Linked DNA regions of Callithrix jacchus. The protein of the gene in region 3 purifies or fractionates together with the protein of the main gene of each other region. This does not show direct contact. Links are inferred from orthologs where the notes say so. Each region holds a gene or a part of one and is shown on either strand. Other genes may lie near its edges.

Evidence for each region. Proteins that work in one complex are often made in the same cells at the same time.
Region 1: the proteins of SMARCB1 (region 3) and HDAC1 purify together in Homo sapiens (affinity purification with mass spectrometry; 3 studies listed by BioGRID, with this or other methods). This does not show direct contact. The link is inferred for Callithrix jacchus from reciprocal best matches to the Homo sapiens genes SMARCB1 and HDAC1.
Region 2: the proteins of SMARCB1 (region 3) and MACROH2A1 purify together in Homo sapiens (affinity purification with mass spectrometry; 3 studies listed by BioGRID and IntAct, with this or other methods). This does not show direct contact. The link is inferred for Callithrix jacchus from reciprocal best matches to the Homo sapiens genes SMARCB1 and MACROH2A1.
Region 4: the proteins of SMARCB1 (region 3) and BICRA purify together in Homo sapiens (affinity purification with mass spectrometry; 3 studies listed by BioGRID, with this or other methods). This does not show direct contact. The link is inferred for Callithrix jacchus from reciprocal best matches to the Homo sapiens genes SMARCB1 and BICRA.
Region 5: the proteins of SMARCB1 (region 3) and TOP2B fractionate together in Homo sapiens (co-fractionation; 3 studies listed by BioGRID, with this or other methods). This does not show direct contact. The link is inferred for Callithrix jacchus from reciprocal best matches to the Homo sapiens genes SMARCB1 and TOP2B.

The regions. Positions count from the first base shown.
Region 1 is NC_133508.1:68,946,398-68,949,449, reverse strand, and holds the end of HDAC1 (histone deacetylase 1), read right to left. Parts: intron 2,640-3,052; coding exon 2,531-2,639; intron 2,440-2,530; coding exon 2,309-2,439; intron 2,026-2,308; coding exon 1,873-2,025; intron 1,414-1,872; coding exon 1,365-1,413; intron 1,099-1,364; coding exon 1,071-1,098; 3' UTR 501-1,070; downstream 1-500. UniProt on the Homo sapiens protein: Histone deacetylase that catalyzes the deacetylation of lysine residues on the N-terminal part of the core histones (H2A, H2B, H3 and H4).
Region 2 is NC_133503.1:33,798,629-33,802,128, forward strand, and holds part of MACROH2A1 (core histone macro-H2A.1), read right to left. Parts: intron 1,906-3,500; coding exon 1,799-1,905; intron 1,392-1,798; coding exon 1,194-1,391; intron 1-1,193. UniProt on the Homo sapiens protein: Variant histone H2A which replaces conventional H2A in a subset of nucleosomes where it represses transcription. Nucleosomes wrap and compact DNA into chromatin, limiting DNA accessibility to the cellular machineries which require DNA as a template.
Region 3 is NC_133502.1:192,698,732-192,703,031, reverse strand, and holds the start of SMARCB1 (SWI/SNF-related matrix-associated actin-dependent regulator of chromatin subfamily B member 1), read left to right. Parts: upstream 1-1,500; 5' UTR 1,501-1,706; coding exon 1,707-1,799; exon of another isoform or gene 1,800-1,889; intron 1,890-3,369; exon of another isoform or gene 3,370-3,562; intron 3,563-4,300.
Region 4 is NC_133523.1:41,628,586-41,632,085, reverse strand, and holds part of BICRA (BRD4-interacting chromatin-remodeling complex-associated protein), read right to left. Parts: coding exon 3,189-3,500; intron 3,021-3,188; coding exon 2,840-3,020; intron 2,582-2,839; coding exon 2,472-2,581; intron 1,590-2,471; coding exon 1,450-1,589; intron 1-1,449. UniProt on the Homo sapiens protein: Component of SWI/SNF chromatin remodeling subcomplex GBAF that carries out key enzymatic activities, changing chromatin structure by altering DNA-histone contacts within a nucleosome in an ATP-dependent manner.
Region 5 is NC_133518.1:64,023,762-64,027,261, reverse strand, and holds part of TOP2B (DNA topoisomerase 2-beta), read left to right. Parts: intron 1-1,021; coding exon 1,022-1,195; intron 1,196-2,298; coding exon 2,299-2,400; intron 2,401-2,511; coding exon 2,512-2,649; intron 2,650-3,500. UniProt on the Homo sapiens protein: Key decatenating enzyme that alters DNA topology by binding to two double-stranded DNA molecules, generating a double-stranded break in one of the strands, passing the intact strand through the broken strand, and religating the broken strand.

The DNA of each region.
Region 1 (3,052 bases), on a different chromosome or scaffold from region 3:
CCCCGTCTAGGTTTTTATAAATGTCTTACTCAAGTTCAAACCTCCAGCTTGTGAATCAACTGTGTCTCTTTTTTGACTTGGTAAGCAAGTATTAGGCTTTGGGGTGGGGGGAGGTCTGTAATGTGAAACAACTTCTTGTTGTCTTTTTTTTCTCCCATTGTTGTAAATAACTTTTAATGGCCAAACCCCAGATTTGTACTTTTTTTTTTTTTTCTAACTGCTAAAACCATTCTCTTCCACCTGGTTTTACTGTAACATTTGGAAAAGGAATAAATGTCGTCCCTTTAGTGGTGCTTTAATGAGTGGTCTTCTGTGGGTAGGGTGAGAAGATTGGTGGAAACTAGTTCACCTCAAGCCTCGAGGGAGGAGTTAAGGCAGGCAGGTAAGTTTTATGGGGTTTTCTTGTTCAGGGGGTTGCCCCAATACTCATGGACACCAGAAGGGCAGGGAAGTAGAGTTGAAACCAACTCAGAGACACATAAGAAACAAGCTCAGGAGGATATAGAAATGTACCATTTTATTACAAAGAGGCTCACAAAAATGAAAATAGTATCTCAAAAAGGAAAACTAGACTACCTCCTCCACCTGCAGAATTAGGGGAAGACAGAGGGCAGGCAGTGCGACTTTCTTGGCTCACTTGAGGCCAGTGGGAAGGTATGAAAACAGAACCAATCTAAAAATGGCTGATGTTACCTTAGGAGCCTGAAGAGAACAGGAGATCCTTGAAAACCCAGCCACCCCTTCTATAATGTTCAATAAGGGCGCCTTTCCAAAGCTACTAAGCAGGCACTTGGCATTTCAGGATTTTGTCTTATGGTTGCATAAAAGTATCCCTTTCACTTAGACCTGGCACCCTTTGTGGTTCAAAGTTAAGATGGGTGGCAAGGCAACTCCTGAAAGCTCACCCAGTACAGCTGCCCTGGGCTCAGAGCCTTGGTTTCTGTCCCTGGGGATATTTATATTTAATAAATTTTTATATAAATACACAGAGAAATAGAAAATATAAAATCTGAGGGGTTAGAAGAGAAAGGTGAGGGACTCGGCAGGAAGCCAAAGCTGGAGAGGTCTGCTTAGGCCAACTTGACCTCCTCTTTGACCCTGTGGAGAAAGCAGAGACTGGCATGAGATGACCCACCCCAGAGCTTCGGGGCAAAAGTGCAGAGACAGTGACTTCCACAGGATCCCAGGTGACTACTGGGGGCTGGAGCTTCCTAGCTCTGCCTAGAACTGCAGAGACAGACTGCTCCCTCAATGAGGCCTTTGTAAGCTGGACCAGCTGTCGCTGTGCCTTTCCTCAGAGTGGTGGGACAAAGGGGCTGGTGCTCCAATGCCAGGGAGATGGCCACAGGCAACTCCTTCCTCACCCTTTGGCTTCTGGCTTCTCCTCCTTGGTTTTCTCCTCTTCTGTGACTTCTAGAACATAAGAGTACAGGGATGGCCAAGGGTAGCCCCTCTGGAAAGCCCCATGAGGTCTTCATTTACCCTAAGACCCCTTCCCCAACACTCCAGCTCACTGGACAAACGAAAGAGAAAAGCCCATCCCTGGTCCTCCCAGTGAGCCCTGTTGAGAACAGGTTGGACCGGTTTCCCAGCCTGCTACAGCCAGAACCTAGTGGGTGGAGGCAGCCCCCTGGGAAACTGGGGTGCAGTGCTGGGAAAAGGGGTTGGGTGGTATGTGAGAGCTGAACTCAGCCAGTAGAAGTTCATTGTTTTGTGGGCCCTGCCACTTCTGGGAGCCACTGAAAGGCTCAAGGAGCTGAGGAAGAGCCCCACAGGAGCTGGCAGGGCCTGAGTCACTCCCTCCTCCCACTGCCCTACATAGATTCATCCTCCCAGTCTCAAGACCCAAGTCCCGGCTGAACCCAAACCCACCTTTCTTCTCCTCTGGCTCTTTCTCTTTTTCATCCTCTGTTTTGACTCTCTTGGCTTTTTTGAAGTTGGAAGAGTTCTTGCGGCCCCCCTCTCCCTCCTCTTCAGAGTCTGAGAACTCTTCCTCACAGGCAATTCGTTTGTCAGAGGAGCAGACTGGGCAGGAGTGGGAAGCATGGGTGAGAGGCAGGTGGGTGCCGATCTAGCTTAGCATCTGTGCCCAGTGCTTCCCTGCGTGTCCTCCAAGAGACACCAAAGGAGAGGGAACCAGAGAATAGGGAGGAACTCAAGCTTCCTAACTTGTGCCTACAGGCACTGGAACTAGAAACAAATTTCTGAACAGGTGGAGAGCTTGGAGGAAATGTGCAGCCAGGAATGGTGGTGGAAGTCGGAGCTGCCTACTGAGTGGAAGGCACAGGGCTCTGGGTCTAGGTCTTACTCGAGATGCGCTTGTCAGGGTCTTCTTCGTCTTCATCACCACTCTCCTCAGGGATGGCGTCCTCAGGAATCGCCTGCATTTGGACCCCGGGTGCATGCGGCAGCATCCTCAGGTTCTCAAACAGTCGCTGTCTGTGGCCAATGGGAGAGTAGTAGGGCTCTGGTCAGGGACAAACCAGAGTCAGGAATGTTCAACCTAGGAGTGGCCGGAGGATATACTCACTTGATCTTCTCCAAGTACTCATTCGTGTTCTGGTTAGTCATATTGGAAGGACTGATGTGGAGCTTGAAATCTGGTCCAAAGTATTCGAAGTAGTCGTTGTATGGAAGCTCTGATTGGGGCAGGGGAGAAAATAGTCAAGAGACCTTGCCGCCACGGCACCCCAAGTAAATCATTTGTAGGTTTCTCTGGGCCCGTTTATACATCTGTCAAACAGAGAAGAATGCCTCCAAGACATGGTGAGACATGGGTACCTATGGGATTTCCATCTCTTGAATACCACTCTCCTATGTCCTTAACAGTGGTATATATGTTGCTAGAAGGCCCAAGCCCCTGGTTAGGACGCTTGAGGCCGTGCTCATTCTGAATGCTCCCTTCACTCACTACTCCAGTTACTCTACAGAGTAGAAATTCCAAAGCTGTAAATGACCACTGAGAACTGCAAAAGCAGGAGGGAAAGGGACAGAGCTAAAAAGGACTCAAGGAAGGTTGGGCACAGTGGCTCTCGCCTGTAATCCCAGCACT
Region 2 (3,500 bases), on a different chromosome or scaffold from region 3:
CTGAAGAAAGTTCCACAAACAGTGTGGATGCAAAAAGGCTGAGGTCACAGAAGATGCCCCTACATGCAGGGGCAGTGAAGGGCCAGTCTGAGGCACAGGCAGGCTCAAAGGAAAGGACGTGCTGACAGGACAGAAGGAGCTCTGTTCACCTGGCAACAGCTCCTTGAGCCTGTCCTGGGAAGGTGTTCTTACTGTCTCAGATGAGAGGTTTTGGTCTCATGTAGGAAGAACTTCCTGACACTGCATCATTAGATTTCACAGGGCATTTCCAGGGACTTCTAATTGAGGGAAGTCACCTTCTGCTAGGGGTAATTTCCTCCTGATCTGGCTGGAGGCCAGGAGGACTCCTTAAGGGGTACTTCAGAGCAGGGCAGCCTCAAGATTCCATTTTCTTAGAGACCAAACTTTGGTTGTACTGTCTATTGTTTGTTGGCTCTGGAGTCTGTGACAACAGCTGACAGGTAGGACTCAGCAAGGAAGGAACAAAGAAAATGCATCCCAGTTGCCTTGTAGTCTCTGGCTCATGCTGAGACAGGTGAGCACAGCAGTCACTGGCCTGGACCTCCGGAGGGTGCTCCTCCACACTGAGGATCATGACCTGGAGTCTGCTGGCCTTCTCCACCCAAGACGACAATAGATGATGCTAATTAGAGGGTTTCCAGCACCTAGGACCCGGCCAATCCAAGTTAGGTCCAGGAGGAAGCACCTGAGTAGTACATCCATTTTCCTCCTTGTCAGAGGCAAGCGTTCTAAAGCGAACTGTCTGGAGCATCCTGGCAGAAGATACACAGCCACAGCAACACAATGAGAGTTCTGCAACTGAGCAGCCGAGCATGCAGGCAGCTGACCACAGGACTAGACAATGGCTGTCCCTTAGCACAGGGAAGCCCCCTTCCCACAGGTGTGTACATCTTCCTGGAAGGGACAGCTTGGGAGTCCTTCCAGCTTGGAGCTATCCCTGAAAGCTCATTGTTCATCCCCCTTGCCTGCAGGGATTCTGTCCTCCACCTGGGTCCAGACTCTGGAAGGGCCTCCTGGCTACTGGCCCCTCTGAAGTGTAATCAGCTCCTACATCTTCTTCCTTTAGTCCCTCATGAGTGCGATGAGCCCACAGCAGGAAGGGGAGCCCTGGTAACCCTGTTTATCTGTACCCCATCCTATCCCACTTCATACATCCCTGCCAAATCACGTACCTTGGATTTCCGGGCCCCTTTCTTGCCTCCTGCTTTTTTAGACACAGGCTTCTTCTGGGATGGAGACTTGGCCTTTTTGGCTGGGGGTGGTGTGATGATGGCTTCCAACTTTCCTTTGGATCCCCGCTTCTTCGCTAGCAACTCGGGGTGGATGTTGGGTAACACCCCCCCACTGGCTATGGTGACTCCTTTTAGCAGCTTTCAGGAAAACCAAAATGGCAGATAGTGAGCCAGATACCCTGCTTCTGACCATCAAGAAGCCAGCCCTGCCCAGGACAGTCTTGCTTTGGTTGGTGCGGCTCCTTCCTCCATGGCATTTTCCATGAGGATGCTGTCAGGACTCAGGCTCATAGCTCAGGAATCCAGTCCCCAGAGTCCCTTACTTGAATGGAATTCAGATAATCTCTCTCCTTCAGGGAGAGCCAAATACCCTGTTTTATCCTACTTCCCCCAACACTCCCAATAAGGCCTTGGGGGAAAAACTGCCATGGGAGGCAGGGAATCTGCTAATTAATCCAAAATGCAGTCCACACTCAGCTATGTTTCTTGGGCACTATGACCACCTCCTCAAGCATCAGTGGGGGATGGGTGGGAGAGTCCCATACCTGATTCAGCTCTTCATCATTGGCCACAGCCAGCAGGATGTGCCGGGGCGTGACCCGTCCCTTCTTGTTGTCTCTCGCTGCATTGCCAGCCAGCTCCAGAATCTCCGCTGTGAGGAACAGAGATGAGAGTATGGTCATGGTAGAGGACCATGTGTCCCCCCCGACTTCCCGCATTCAGTGCCAGGAATGGGCACAGGCAGCTGCTTCAGGAAGCAGCTATGCTGAGGTGAGAATCTGTGGGCAGAGTCACAGAGGTGCTGAATGGCAAACCTGAGTGAGACCTAGGAGGCACCAGGTCCAATGCCCTTGTTTGGGAGATGAAGGAACTGAAGCTGAGGGAGAAGGGACCAGCTGAAGATCACTCAGTGAGTGAGTGGGAGGGCTGAGATCCGACTCCCATTTCCCAGAAAGGTGCTTGAAATTAGCACTGCGGATGTCACCAGGCCAAACCCAAAGTCTTCAGTGTGGTGAGAGTGTACCATACCTGCTTATAGGGTTTTGAAGACAGGATGGCTTCTTGAGGAAGCCTGTTAAGTCTTTGTTGATTACATCAATGCTGAATGCCTATACATCTGGATACAAAACTAGAAGGATGTGACTGGATTATTTACAAAGTCAATGTCATAAATGCATTTTTAAAAGTGGAAGGGGGGTGCTGTAGATTTAAAAAGGCTAAAAAGACATAACAGCCAAAAATAATGTCACTCCTTAATGAAATCCTGATTCTTTTAATAAAAGCTATGAAAATCATTTTGTAGACAACTGAAGAGATCTGAATGTGGACTGGGCATCAGATACTAGGGAATTATTAATTTTCTTAAGTGTGATAATGGCATTGCCATTCTGTAGGGAGCATCCTTGTTCTTAGGAGATACATGCTGAGGTGTTTATGTATACATGCATACAACTTGCCCTCCATTCTGAAAAAGCTCTAAGGAACAAAGCAAGTATGGCAAATGTTAACAGCTCTTAAATCTAGGTATATAAGAATGTTCCTCTTTCAAGGAAATTCTGTCATTTGCAACAACATAGATAAACCTGGAGGACATTATGTTAAGTGAAATAAGCCAGGCACAGAAGGACAAATACAACATGAGCTCATTACTATGTGGAATCAGGGACTGGGGGTAGGGTCGGGGTGAATGTTAGTCAAAAGACAAAGTTTCAGTTAGGAGAAGTTTTAATGTAGGTGCGGAATGGTACCTACAGTTAACAATCATGCATATTTAAAAATTGCTAAAACAATAGATTTTAAAAGTTCTAACACAAGGAAATAAATATGTAAGGTGATGAAATAAGAGTATTCTTGACATTCTGTATGTTTGAAATTTTTCAAAATAATAAGTATGAGAGAAAAGAAAAACTAGAAGGGCTATGAGTGTAACCTATAGTTAGTAATAAGTTAGAGTTGATTTACCTGCCATCTGGGCACAGTCTCACAAAACAAGACAGGTTTTCCACAGCACCAAAGATGGTGGGAATTAGGAAGTGCCCTTTGGCAAGGCCTGGTTTTCTCCTTGGCATTACAGTGCTCTTGGTAACCTGTCAACCTCATCACAGTCTCCTTGTTTTCTTAGTGAAGCATACGGATAGGCCCAGAATGGATGTTATACTCTCCACTTCTGCATTCACAGCACCTGGGGACCAAGGTCACACAGGCATCACAGGCACCTTTTTCACTTGGGCAAGATGGGCCCATCAC
Region 3 (4,300 bases):
CCTGGGAGCCAGGGTCACAGTCCCCCAACCCAACCCTCTGGCCCTTGGGGCTGGGCACAGTGCTCAGGGCTCCTTTTGCTCCATTACATCACATTTTGCTACAGTGGCTTGTCAACTGGCTCCGCACTTTCCTACTTGTCCCCTCCGTTCATCCTCCAGAATGGTGGTCATTTTATCTGCTCCCGCCACAGCCCAGCCCCTCGTGAAACACAGTCAGCCTTCCATACATAGCTGTGGTTTCTGCATCCATAAACTCAACTAATCTCGGGTGGGAAAAAAAGTGTTGAAAAAAAGGATGTGGCCAGGTGCAGTGGCTCGTGCCTGAAATCCCAGCTCTTTGGGAGGCCGAGGTGGGTGGATCACCTGAGGTCAGGAGTTTGAGACCAGCCTAGTCAACATGGTGAAACCCCATCTCTTCTCAGCTACTTGGGAGGGTTGCCTCCTACCTTCCAACTCCACATGTGTCTTCATAACAGCATTTATCATAGTTGCATTTTTTTTTTTTTAAAGAGAGACAGGTTCTTCCTTTGTTGCCCAGGCTGGAGTGCAGTGGTACAATCAGCTCACTATAACCTTGAACTCCTAGGCTCAAGGGATCTTCCCCTCTCCACTTCCGAAGCAGCTGGGGCTACAGGCGCACAGCACCACGCCACACCCAGCTTATTTATTTTAAAATTTTTGTAGAGACAGGGACTTGGTGTATTGTCCAGTCTGGTTTTAAACTCCTGGCTTTAAGTGATGCTCTCTGCCTTGGCCTCCTAAAGAGTTGGGATTACAGGCATGAGCCACTGTGCCCAACCACAGCTGCAATTTCAGTAGACTGAACCGTATGAAATCATCAGTGGTGGGCCACTTTTTTACTCACTGGATTATTCAATCAGATACATGATTGCTTTGAGACTTTTAGTTTCACTAGCTTCGGGCGGTAGGAGCCAAGAGACTGAGCCTGGTTTCCCGTCCCACTGCAGGGCTCAGGTAAGCAAAGGAATGGAGGTGGAAAGTGTCCCTTCCCTCCCATGCTCATCTGATGCACCAGCCAAACCAAATACCATCTGGGCCTTTGAATATTGCCAGTCCTTATCCGCTGTTGTCATTTTGCCCACCTCCACAGCTGCAGAAACAGCCGTAGGCCGGGAACTGGGATATCTGTTCCTAGGGGCCCGCCTATCTGCTCAGTTGCATTGCCTGTTTCAGGGGTTGGGAAGCTAAGGCACGAGCCTGGTGTCCAAACGTGCCCAGACCACTCAGGCTTCCAGATATTAGGTCCTTCTCCTTCAAACCTCACTTCGTTTCTTTTCCCCTGGGCTCCGTTCCAGTCCTGGCTGTAAGACTGGGAAAGCAGTGGCTATTTTTGTCCGTGAGAAGCTTTCCTTTCTACACCACGACTTGGGAGGCAGCCTGGGAGGAAGAGAAATTAGCCGTGGCTCCTTTAAGAAGTCCGCGGAGGCGCTCCCGGCCTTTTGTTTCAGCGGCGGCGCGCGCGTCAGCGTCAACGCCAGCGCCTGCGCACTGAGGGCGGCCTGGTCGTCGTCTGCGGTGGCGGCGGCTGAGGAACCCGGCTGAGGCGCCGGTACCCGGCCCGGTGCGCATTTCGCCTTCTGGCTTCGGCTTCCCTTGGCCTGGCACTCGCCGGCCACGCCCAGGCCCCACCCCAGCCCTCCGGATCCCTCGCAGACCGGCTCCGGCCGCCCGTCTCTGCCGCCGCAATGATGATGATGGCGCTGAGCAAGACCTTCGGGCAGAAGCCCGTGAAGTTCCAGCTGGAGGATGACGGCGAGTTCTACATGATCGGCTCCGAGGTAGCCTGCGGCGCGTCCTCGCCCTCCCCGGGCTCGGCCCCGCGGGAGCCCCAGGGCGGGCCCGTGCGCCGAAAGCGGGCGTCTCCATTCATCGGGGCGGGCGGGCGCGCGCGCGCTCCGGACTGTGGGGCGTGACCTGTGGGCGTGGCCCCGCCCCCTCATCTATCTGGGTTTCTTTACCCATTTCGCCGAGGTCTGCCGCCTGCAATGCTGCCAGGGCTTTATGGCGCCGCGAGTGGTTCCATTAGTTCCCTGCTGGGTTGGTTTCCAGCCAGACTCAAAGAAGTGGAATGTTGGGTTAGCCCCTGAGACGCTTGGGGGACCGCACTGCTGCCTTTGACTCTTTTTAGATGTCGTAAATTTCACGTGCACCCCTCCCCACATTGCCACTTGTGGGATCCTGAAATGGCAGGCTGAAAACTCCCGGGCTTAGTGAGGGCTCATCCCTATTGTGTTTGTTTGTTGCTTCTTAGGTGGGCAGTAGAGGTGTTTTGACCTTTGTTTACTAGTGAAGAAACAGATCGGAGGGAGATGTTTGCTTTTGGGTGGGTAAAGGCCCCATGCCTAAGCTGATTCTTTGAGCAATTCTGAAGCAATTGACATTTTCCATATCTGTGAACTGATTCTGAATTATTACAGGGGCAGGAGAACAAGGATCTTTAATCCTTAAGTAGAGTGGCAGTATTTTGTTGCATCAACTGATTGACTGACGTTGGAAAAACCTTCAATTGGCAATTAAACGGGTGTTTATGCCAAATATATTAGGTTCTTGTTTTTTGTCATTTGTTTATTTATTTTTGAGACAGAGTCTCGCTCTGTCACCAGGATGGAGTGCAGTGGTACGATCTTGGTTCACTGCAACCTCCGCTTCCCAGGTTCAAGCAGTTCCCTGCCTCAGCCTCCTGAGTAGCTGGGATTACAAGCGTCTGCAACCACGCCCGCCTAGTTTTTGTGTTTTTAGTAGAGACAGGGTTTCATCACGTTGGCCAGGCTGGTCTGGAACTCCTGACCTCATGATCCACCCGCCCCGGCCTCCCCAAGTTCTGGGATTACAGGCGTGAGTGAGCCACTATGCCTGGCCTTATTAATAGTTTTTATCTTACTTTATTTTAGAAAAAAGGTCTCACTCTGTTGCCCAGGCTTTGGTACAGTGGTGCATCTCAGCTCACTGCAGCCTTGACTTCCTGGGGTCAAGTGATCCTCCTGCCTCAGCCTCCCAAGTAGTTGGGACTACAGGTGTACATCACCATGCCCGGCTAATTTTTGTGTTTTTTTTGTAGAGATGGGGTTTTGCTGTGTTGCCCAGGCTGGTCTTGAACTCCTGGGCTCAAGTGATCCTTGTACCTCAGCCTCTTAAAGTGCCAGAATTTCAGGTGTGAGCCACCACGCTCACACTCAGCCCATTCATACTTTTTAAACTTGTGGGTTTTTGCCTTCACAATTGAGCATAGCATGAAGGAATGAAGCCTCAAGATGGTCACGCTGAGTCCCATGGGTGAGAGTAAGGTCAATAGCATCAGAACTTTAGTGTTAGCATTTCTCCACCTTTTTTTTTTTTTTTTTTTTTGAGGGGAACAACGTCTGACTCTGTCACTCAGGCTGGAGTGGAGTGGTGCAATCTCAGCTCTCTGCAACCTCCACCTCCCGGGCTCAAGCCATCCTCCCACCTCAGTCTCTCAAGCATCTGGGACTACGGCACACACCATCACGCCTGGCTAATTTTTACATTTTTAGTAAAGATCGGGTTTCACCATATTGCCCAGGTTGGTCTTAAAAAATTCAGACGTTCAAGCGATCTGCCCACCTCAGCCTCCCAAAGTGCTGGGATTATAGGTGTGAGCCACTGTAGCTGGCCTCCATCAATTTTTATAAAACAAAAAGTGAAGGATGCAATAAAATTTTCACGTTGTCACTTGAATTGCAACTGTTCGAAGATGGCAGTGCTGGGGAGATGGAGCCATTGCCTGTCCTTGTGCCGCAGTTCAGCATTGTCCTCATTGGCCAGTAGACACCTGCCTAACTGCAGGATGCAAAAGGTGTTGAGTTTCATCATGTGATACTAGGCGAGTTGTTTACCTGATCTAATGGGTATAAAAGTAGTTAGTTTGGCTCAGAGTGGGTGACACTTTAAAAGAAAGCTTTCATTTATTAATTGGAGCAAATTGAGAAGCTGTAAGTGGCCAAGTGGGAAGAACCTTGGGAGGCCTGGTTCCAGCCCTGCTCTGCCTTCGTGTCACGTTTCTCATGTGTAAAATGTGATGCTTAGACTAAATGGTTTCCAGGATCTTCCCCAAAGCACATTTTAGTTTCTGGAAAGCTAATTACAGTCTTGTTTTTCAGCCCCCTTCACTCCTGGGCTTCCCAGTAAGAATAGTCTTCCTGAGGCCCAGCCTATGAGAGACTCAGATGGAGAGGCAGTTTGTTCTCTTGGGCCTGACTTAATCATCAGACCTTTGGAGTTTAGGCAAGGGTTCAAGGTCAGAGCTCTATTGAAATCAGTA
Region 4 (3,500 bases), on a different chromosome or scaffold from region 3:
CAGCCTCTCTGCATGCGGGGGCAGGGACTCTGGCACTCACTCCTGTGTTCCCAGCATGGAGCCCCGGGCCTGGGCGCTGAGTGGGGACTTCCCTCACACTTCTAGGCCAGGCGCAGGGGTTCACACCTGCAATCCCAGCGCTCTGGGAGGCCGAAGCAGAAGGATCATCTGAGCCCAGGAGTTCAAGACTAGCCTGGGCCACACAGCAAGACCCTGTCTCTACAAAAATTATAAAAAATTAGCCGAGTGCGGTGGCACGTGCCTGTAGTCCCAGCTACTCAGGAGACTGAGGTGGGAGGATCATTTGAGCCTAGGAGTTTCACACCAACCTAGGCCGGGCGCGGTGGCTCACGCCTGTACTCCCAGCACTTTGGGAGGCCGAGGTGGGCAGATCACTTGAGGTCAGAAGTTCAAGACCAGCCAGGCCAACATGGTGAAACTGCATCTCTACTAAAAATACAAAAATTAGCTGGGTGTGGTGGTGCACACCTGTAGTCCCAGCTACTAGGGAGGCTGCGGCAAGAGAATCATTGAACCCGGGAGGCAGAGGTTGCAGTGAGTGGAGATTGCACCACTGCACTCCAGCCTGGGTGACAGAATGAGACTTCATCTTCAAAAACAAAACAAGTACAAATATTTGGGCAATATAGTAAGACCTGGTCTCCACGAAAAAATATGCATTTTTAAAAAACACTCATGGTGGGTTGGGCGTCGTGGCTCACGCCTATAATCCCAACACTTTGGGAGGCCGAGGTAGGTGGATCACTTGAGGCCAGGAGTTCGAGATCAGCTTGGCCAACATGGTGAAACCCTGTCACTACTAAAAATAGGGCGAGGTGGCATGCGCTTGTGGTCACAGCTACTTGGGAGGCTGCGGCAAGAGAATCGGTTGAACCCAGGAGGCAGAGGTTGCAGTGAGCCAACACTGTGCTATTGCACTCCAGCCTGGGTGACAGAGTAAGACTCTGGCTCAAAAAAAAAAATACCCAAAACAAAAATACTGGTGGTGGAAGGAGGGCAGGAGAGAGAGCAGGCCAGCATCCAGCATGTACCCATCCACCCACCCAGACTCCCATCCCTCCATCCCAAACACGCACCCATCACATCCTCCAGCAGCCAAGACTGGCCACTCCCTCCCTCCACCCAGCACTTCACCCACCCAGTGGGGCTCAGCACCAACCCTGCCCAGCCGTGTGGGAGACAAGGAGGGCACACCCACAACCCGGGCAGACCACGCTGCCGCCCATCTGAGCCCCAGCCTCTCAGAGCCACAGCCCACCCTCCACCACCTTCTTCTGGTCTGAGGGAACCACACTGCTATCAAGAGGTGGAGCTGGGCTTGGCACTTGGGACCGCCGCCCCCACCCCCGCTTCTGGAGGGTGGCCCCATGCTCCCCCAGGTCTCAGGAAGGTACAGGGCAGGAGTGAGAGGGTGGGGTGTGGGCTCACCAGGCTTCCTTGCTGGGCTGAAGCATGGGGGGCTTCTTCAGGCCACTCAGCTTGCTCTCGTACTGGGGAAGAAGGGTGAGTGAGAGGCCTTTGCCTCGGAGAAGCCTTCCCTCTGCGCCCTGACCCGCTTCCCCTCCAGCCTGGATGACAATGAGGCAGGGGACCGGTGTCACACCTGGGTGGGTGCCTGGCCCAACGGCGGGATCCCCTGCCCATCATGATGAACCCCAGGGGAGACCTATACTGGGCTGGGGGGCTGACAAAGAGGGTGACAGGCAGGCTGGAGTCCTGGGCATCCTTGCCTGGGTCTTCTCTGTCCCCTCACCCAGGGCTGCGTCTGTGTGACCTCCCTCCTCTGCCAGATGCCTGCTTTCCGGTCACCATCCAGACCGGCACCCCTGACTCACACGGTCTCTCTCCCCTTCCTGGCTCCCCTCTCGTCCTCGTTGTCTGCCCTCTGTTCCGTAGTCTCCGTCTCTGTGCCTCTCCTGGCCTCTTGCACCCTAGTCCTCCCACCTGCTCCTCTCCTGGCTTCTTGCTCCCCGTCCTCCCACCTGCTCCTCTCCTTGTCATCCGTCTCCCTCCGTCTCACACCTCACAGACGGCCTCGGCCTCAGCTGTTCTTGCCCTCTCGCCCTTCCATTCTGGGTCCCTGATCCGCTCCGTCTCCGGTTTGTCTCATGTCATCCCCGCCTCTCCTGTCCTGAGCTCACCATCTTGTCGTCTCAGCCCTGTCCTCCCTGTCCTGTGTCCATGTCCCCTGCTCTTGCCCCAGAGACCGTCCCTCACCCCTTCGCCAGCTATCTTGGCGCCGTCTCTGTCCTACCATCTCTGTGTTTCTGCATCATCTCTGGCCGCCCACCTGGGTGTCATCTGCCTTTCCTGGCCCTGCACAACTGTTGGTCGTGTCCCAGCCTCCCCCTGCCCCTATCTTCCTAGCCCCCCCGCCCTTGCTGGCCCCGGTTCCTGGTTCCCTGAAGACTCTTGGTCCTGTCCTGACCCCCACTCCGAGGGCCCCTTACCTGCAGCCCGGAGGGCTTCCCTGGCCCGGATGAAGCAGCCTTGGCCACATTCAGGCTCGGGAGGTTGCTGGCAAAAGCCTTGTTCTCGGCCGGAAGCAGAGGGGGGAGGCCTGGGGGTGGGGGATGGGGGGAGACAGGGCCTGCGGTCACAGCATAAAGGCCCCCCCTCAAATGGGAGCCCTACCCTGTACCCACCACTTCCTCCTGGCCCTCCAGCCCGCCCTGCCAACTCCACCCTCGTTGCGTCCTTGAGTTCTGGTGCCCTGTGCTGAGTCCCACAGCCATGCCCCATCCCACCCTCCTGCTCTCAGCCCTCCACCCATCTTCAGGACCCATCTCTCTGGGCAGGGAGGCGACCTCTCCCCTACCTGTGGTGGCCATGGGTGCCGGGGCGGGGGCGTGGCTGGGGGTGGTGGGGGTCCCGGATGGGGCCTGCCCGCTGACCAGCACAGAAGCAGTGGGGCTGGTGAGAGGCCCCAGGCTGGTGGAGGTCTGTGGGGTGGCAGGAGCCCCCGCAGCCTTGTTCTGGAGAATGATTCCGGACGGCACCTGAGGAGGGACAGGTGGATGAGGGGTGGGGGACATGGGCTAGGAGTGGGGTGTCCAGAGGCAGCAGGGCTGGGGAGGAACACAGAGCCGTGAGGTGGGGGGACCCCCATCAGATTGAGGGGGTGGGATGGGGGGCTGGTGGGGTGGGCGGTCCCTGCCTCCCATTACCTGGTGAAATCTCTCGAGAAGAGCCTTCGGCTGGGGCAGCGCTGGGAAGGGGGTGGTCACCATCTGGAAGGTCCGAGGAGGTGGTGGGGGGGGCACTGCTGGCTCAGGGACCAGGTGGAGGGTTGGAGGGGGGGTGGGGGACTTGTGGGGCACCTGGCTGGGTGTGAACTGGAGCTGGAAGTCAGATGGCACAGGGGCTGGCAACCTGGTGGATGTCTCCGAGGAGGCGGCCACGGTGGAAGATGTGGAGGATGGAGGGAGGTGGGGGGCTGGAGGCAGCGGTCCCTCAGGCGGCTGGGATTGGGGGCGGAG
Region 5 (3,500 bases), on a different chromosome or scaffold from region 3:
GCATGATGGTAGATTGTGGGGGAGATGATCTCTAATGTCTGCTTACATCCCACTCTTTGGAGTGCATGGTGAACCTGTATCTCACGGGTTTGACTTTTACAAGTTTATGCCCCTCTTCCATGGGTTAAAAACTTTTTTTTCTGCTCTCTATTCTCTTTCCCCAGCTGCAGCAGGATTCCAACAGTGTTCTCAGCCTATTTCCTTGAGGTCCCCTACCCTGCAGAATAAGCTTTTTTTTTTTTTTTTTTTTTTTTTTTTTTTTTTTTTTGGTAGGGGAGATAGAACTGGGTGGATTTCCTAGCAAATTCTGTTTCCATTTCCCAGTCAGTACTATAGACGTGCAGAGGGGAAACCTTCCCTAGATTGTCACTAATCTACCCTGTGAGAATTTGGTGGGTTTTCTGGAGGAACACCTGCAAGAGTATGAATGAACTCCTTATGGCTACAGCACCTAGAAGCTGTATGCACCACTCACACTAGCATATGCACTTCTAGCAGCAGTTAGTCAAATTTTCTAGTTTAATGTTCCTACTAGCTTATTAAATATCTGCCCCAGGTAAGCAAAAGCTTAGGTGTTTTGTGGCCTCCGATAGACACTTACGTCACTCCAGACTTAGGATGGTGGGCTATCCTGTGATCTCAATTCTTCAATGGGTTCATGAAAAAACCATTAATTTGTTGTCTGATTACCTGTTTCTTGTAAGGATGGAGGATTTTTTCCGCCCTAGTTCATTACATGCCTGCACTGAAACTGGAAGTCTACCTTATTTTAAAAATGTAAATTTTTGAAATATTTTATACCAATTTACCTGTCCCTTCACATCCTCTTTTTTTTCAAGTACACATAGAAATTTCTTTTTTAAAGGTCAAGGGTTAAGGAATAGATCTGGGAAATGCCACTAAGGTTTGGATCTGCACATTTAGAACTATTGTAAATGAGAGGAAATGGAATATACATATTTAATGTCATTCACCTGTTTGAGCTGCCAACGTAAGATTCTTAATTTTTTTTAATTAATAGGTAAATGGATTTCGCAGTTATGTAGATCTTTATGTAAAAGACAAATTGGATGAAACTGGGGTGGCCCTGAAAGTTATTCATGAACTTGCAAATGAAAGATGGGATGTTTGTCTCACATTGAGTGAAAAAGGATTCCAGCAAATCAGCTTTGTAAATAGTATTGCAACTACAAAAGTAAGTATGCAAGTTCTTTTTCCAAGTCAGTGGTAGAATAGGGCTTCATTAAAATCTACAAAATAAATAACAGTATCAACAACCTCCAAAAAACCCAAATCTGTTTTTGTTAAATAAGAATTGACTTAGGAAAATGAAAACCTATTTTCTATGAAATTGCTGTATTAAAATTTACTTAAACATTCATTGAGAAATAAGTTTATATGATTAGTGTTTATAGTTGAACATATTTATATTTTATTAATTTAGAATGATAACAAATTCCTTATTCTGTAACTTTCAGCCCCATCTTCCCCAACCTCTGGGGAGTGGAGAGGGGGCTGGTGATTGAGTTAAAAATCAATCATGGCTATGTGATAAAGCTCCATTAAAAACCCCTGAACAATGGAGTTCACAGAACTCCTAGGTTGCTGAATACATTGAGGTCTAAGAGGATGGCATGTCTGGGTAAGGTAGAGAGTTTTGTGTACCCTTCCCCCCATAGCGTGCCTTACACATCTCTTCCATTTGGTTGTTATTGATGGATCCTATATAAAAAAACTGGTCAATGAAGTAAACTGTGTTCCTGAGTTCTATGATCTGTTCTAGCAAATTTTCAATCCTGAGGAGTGGTTCATGGGAATCCCCCAATTAATAGCGGGTTGGTTAGAAGTACAGGAAGCCTAGGACTTGTGACTGACATCTGAAGTGTGGGCAGTCCTGTGGGACGGAGCCCTTAACCAACCATAAGTACTTGTGCTAACTCCAGGTAGTTATTATCAAAATTGAATCACATCGTTGAACATCGATTTGTTGTCTGAAGAATCAGAGTCCTGAACTGGGTGAAGTTTAAGGCTGTTGGTGTTGAAAGCACCCCAGAATTAGTGTTAGAATTGAAGTGAGGAAACAAACAAACGTATCAGTTGGTTTATTGGCTCTATAGCCAAAATATCTTATATTTTAAAATCCCAACTCTGATTCTGAGACTCCTATTACTGTTTTAGAAAATAGGGTTTGTAATACAGATAAAGTATTTTGCTACTTTAACAATACAAGATTTAGGATTTCATATTTTTGTTTTTTCACTAATACAAGATTTCATGTTGCATATTTTTTTTCTTTAGGGTGGACGGCACGTGGATTATGTGGTAGATCAAGTTGTTGGTAAACTGATTGAAGTAGTTAAGAAAAAGAACAAAGCTGGTGTATCAGTGAAACCATTTCAAGTAAGGGATGCATTGTACATTACATATGAAGCATATATATGCATTACATATGTGCTGAATTACTAAATAATATTAGCTCTGATGTTGACTATTTTGGTATGTTTTCAACAGGTAAAAAACCATATATGGGTTTTTATTAATTGCCTTATTGAAAATCCAACTTTTGATTCTCAGACTAAGGAAAACATGACTCTGCAGCCCAAAAGTTTTGGGTCTAAATGCCAGCTTTCAGAAAAATTTTTTAAAGCAGTGAGTAAAACTTGTATTATTTTGCATTGCTGTTATTAAGAGTTGATTAAGTAGTTTTCTTGATTTAACTTATTTATGATTAGTTTCTTTCATCATATTAACTGTGAGTATAAGCATGCTTGCACTGTAAACTAATATGCTTAATTTGATAACTTTAAAGGATAAACTTTAATGTTTCCTAAAACAATAGTTTTGCAAAGAACTAAAGTGGGGGATTATGTAACTAATTGCATTTTTAGCTTTGCATTGACCATTGTAAAGGTCAGATTTCTCCTAACAAATGTACAGGTCCTTATGTGATACTTTCATCTTTTCTACTCCGATTTCACCTTCATCTACTGATTCTTAACTTTACACATTTTAAAAAATTGTGGTAACATATGCATAACAAAATGTACTATTTTCTACATGTTTTAAAGTTTCATTCTGCTTTCCATATAATTTTTTAGGTTACCTTAACTTCTCTAAAATAAGGTGAGAGCACAAATAAATAATGAAAATTAATCAATCACAGCCTTTCCTTTTTGGAATTTCGGTGGGGGAATGTTGTATAACTGCCCTAGAACTAACGTATTTGTCAAATTCCAAAATGTAGATTATCAGAAACAAAAACAAAAGTTGTTTTTTAGTTCTAACTTAAGGCCTGTAGAAATAGTACTTTTGGATCTAATCTTAATGAATGCTGAGTATAATGAAATTATACTTAATGAAATTACCCCGTATTAATACTTTCCCAAATTTGTGTCCTCATGACAATTGCTTCTTTGATGAAGTGATTTGATTTTAAATTTTAAACTTTTTCATTTTAGGTGCAGTAAGTTTAAATTTGGCAACATAGTTCACCTCTTTCA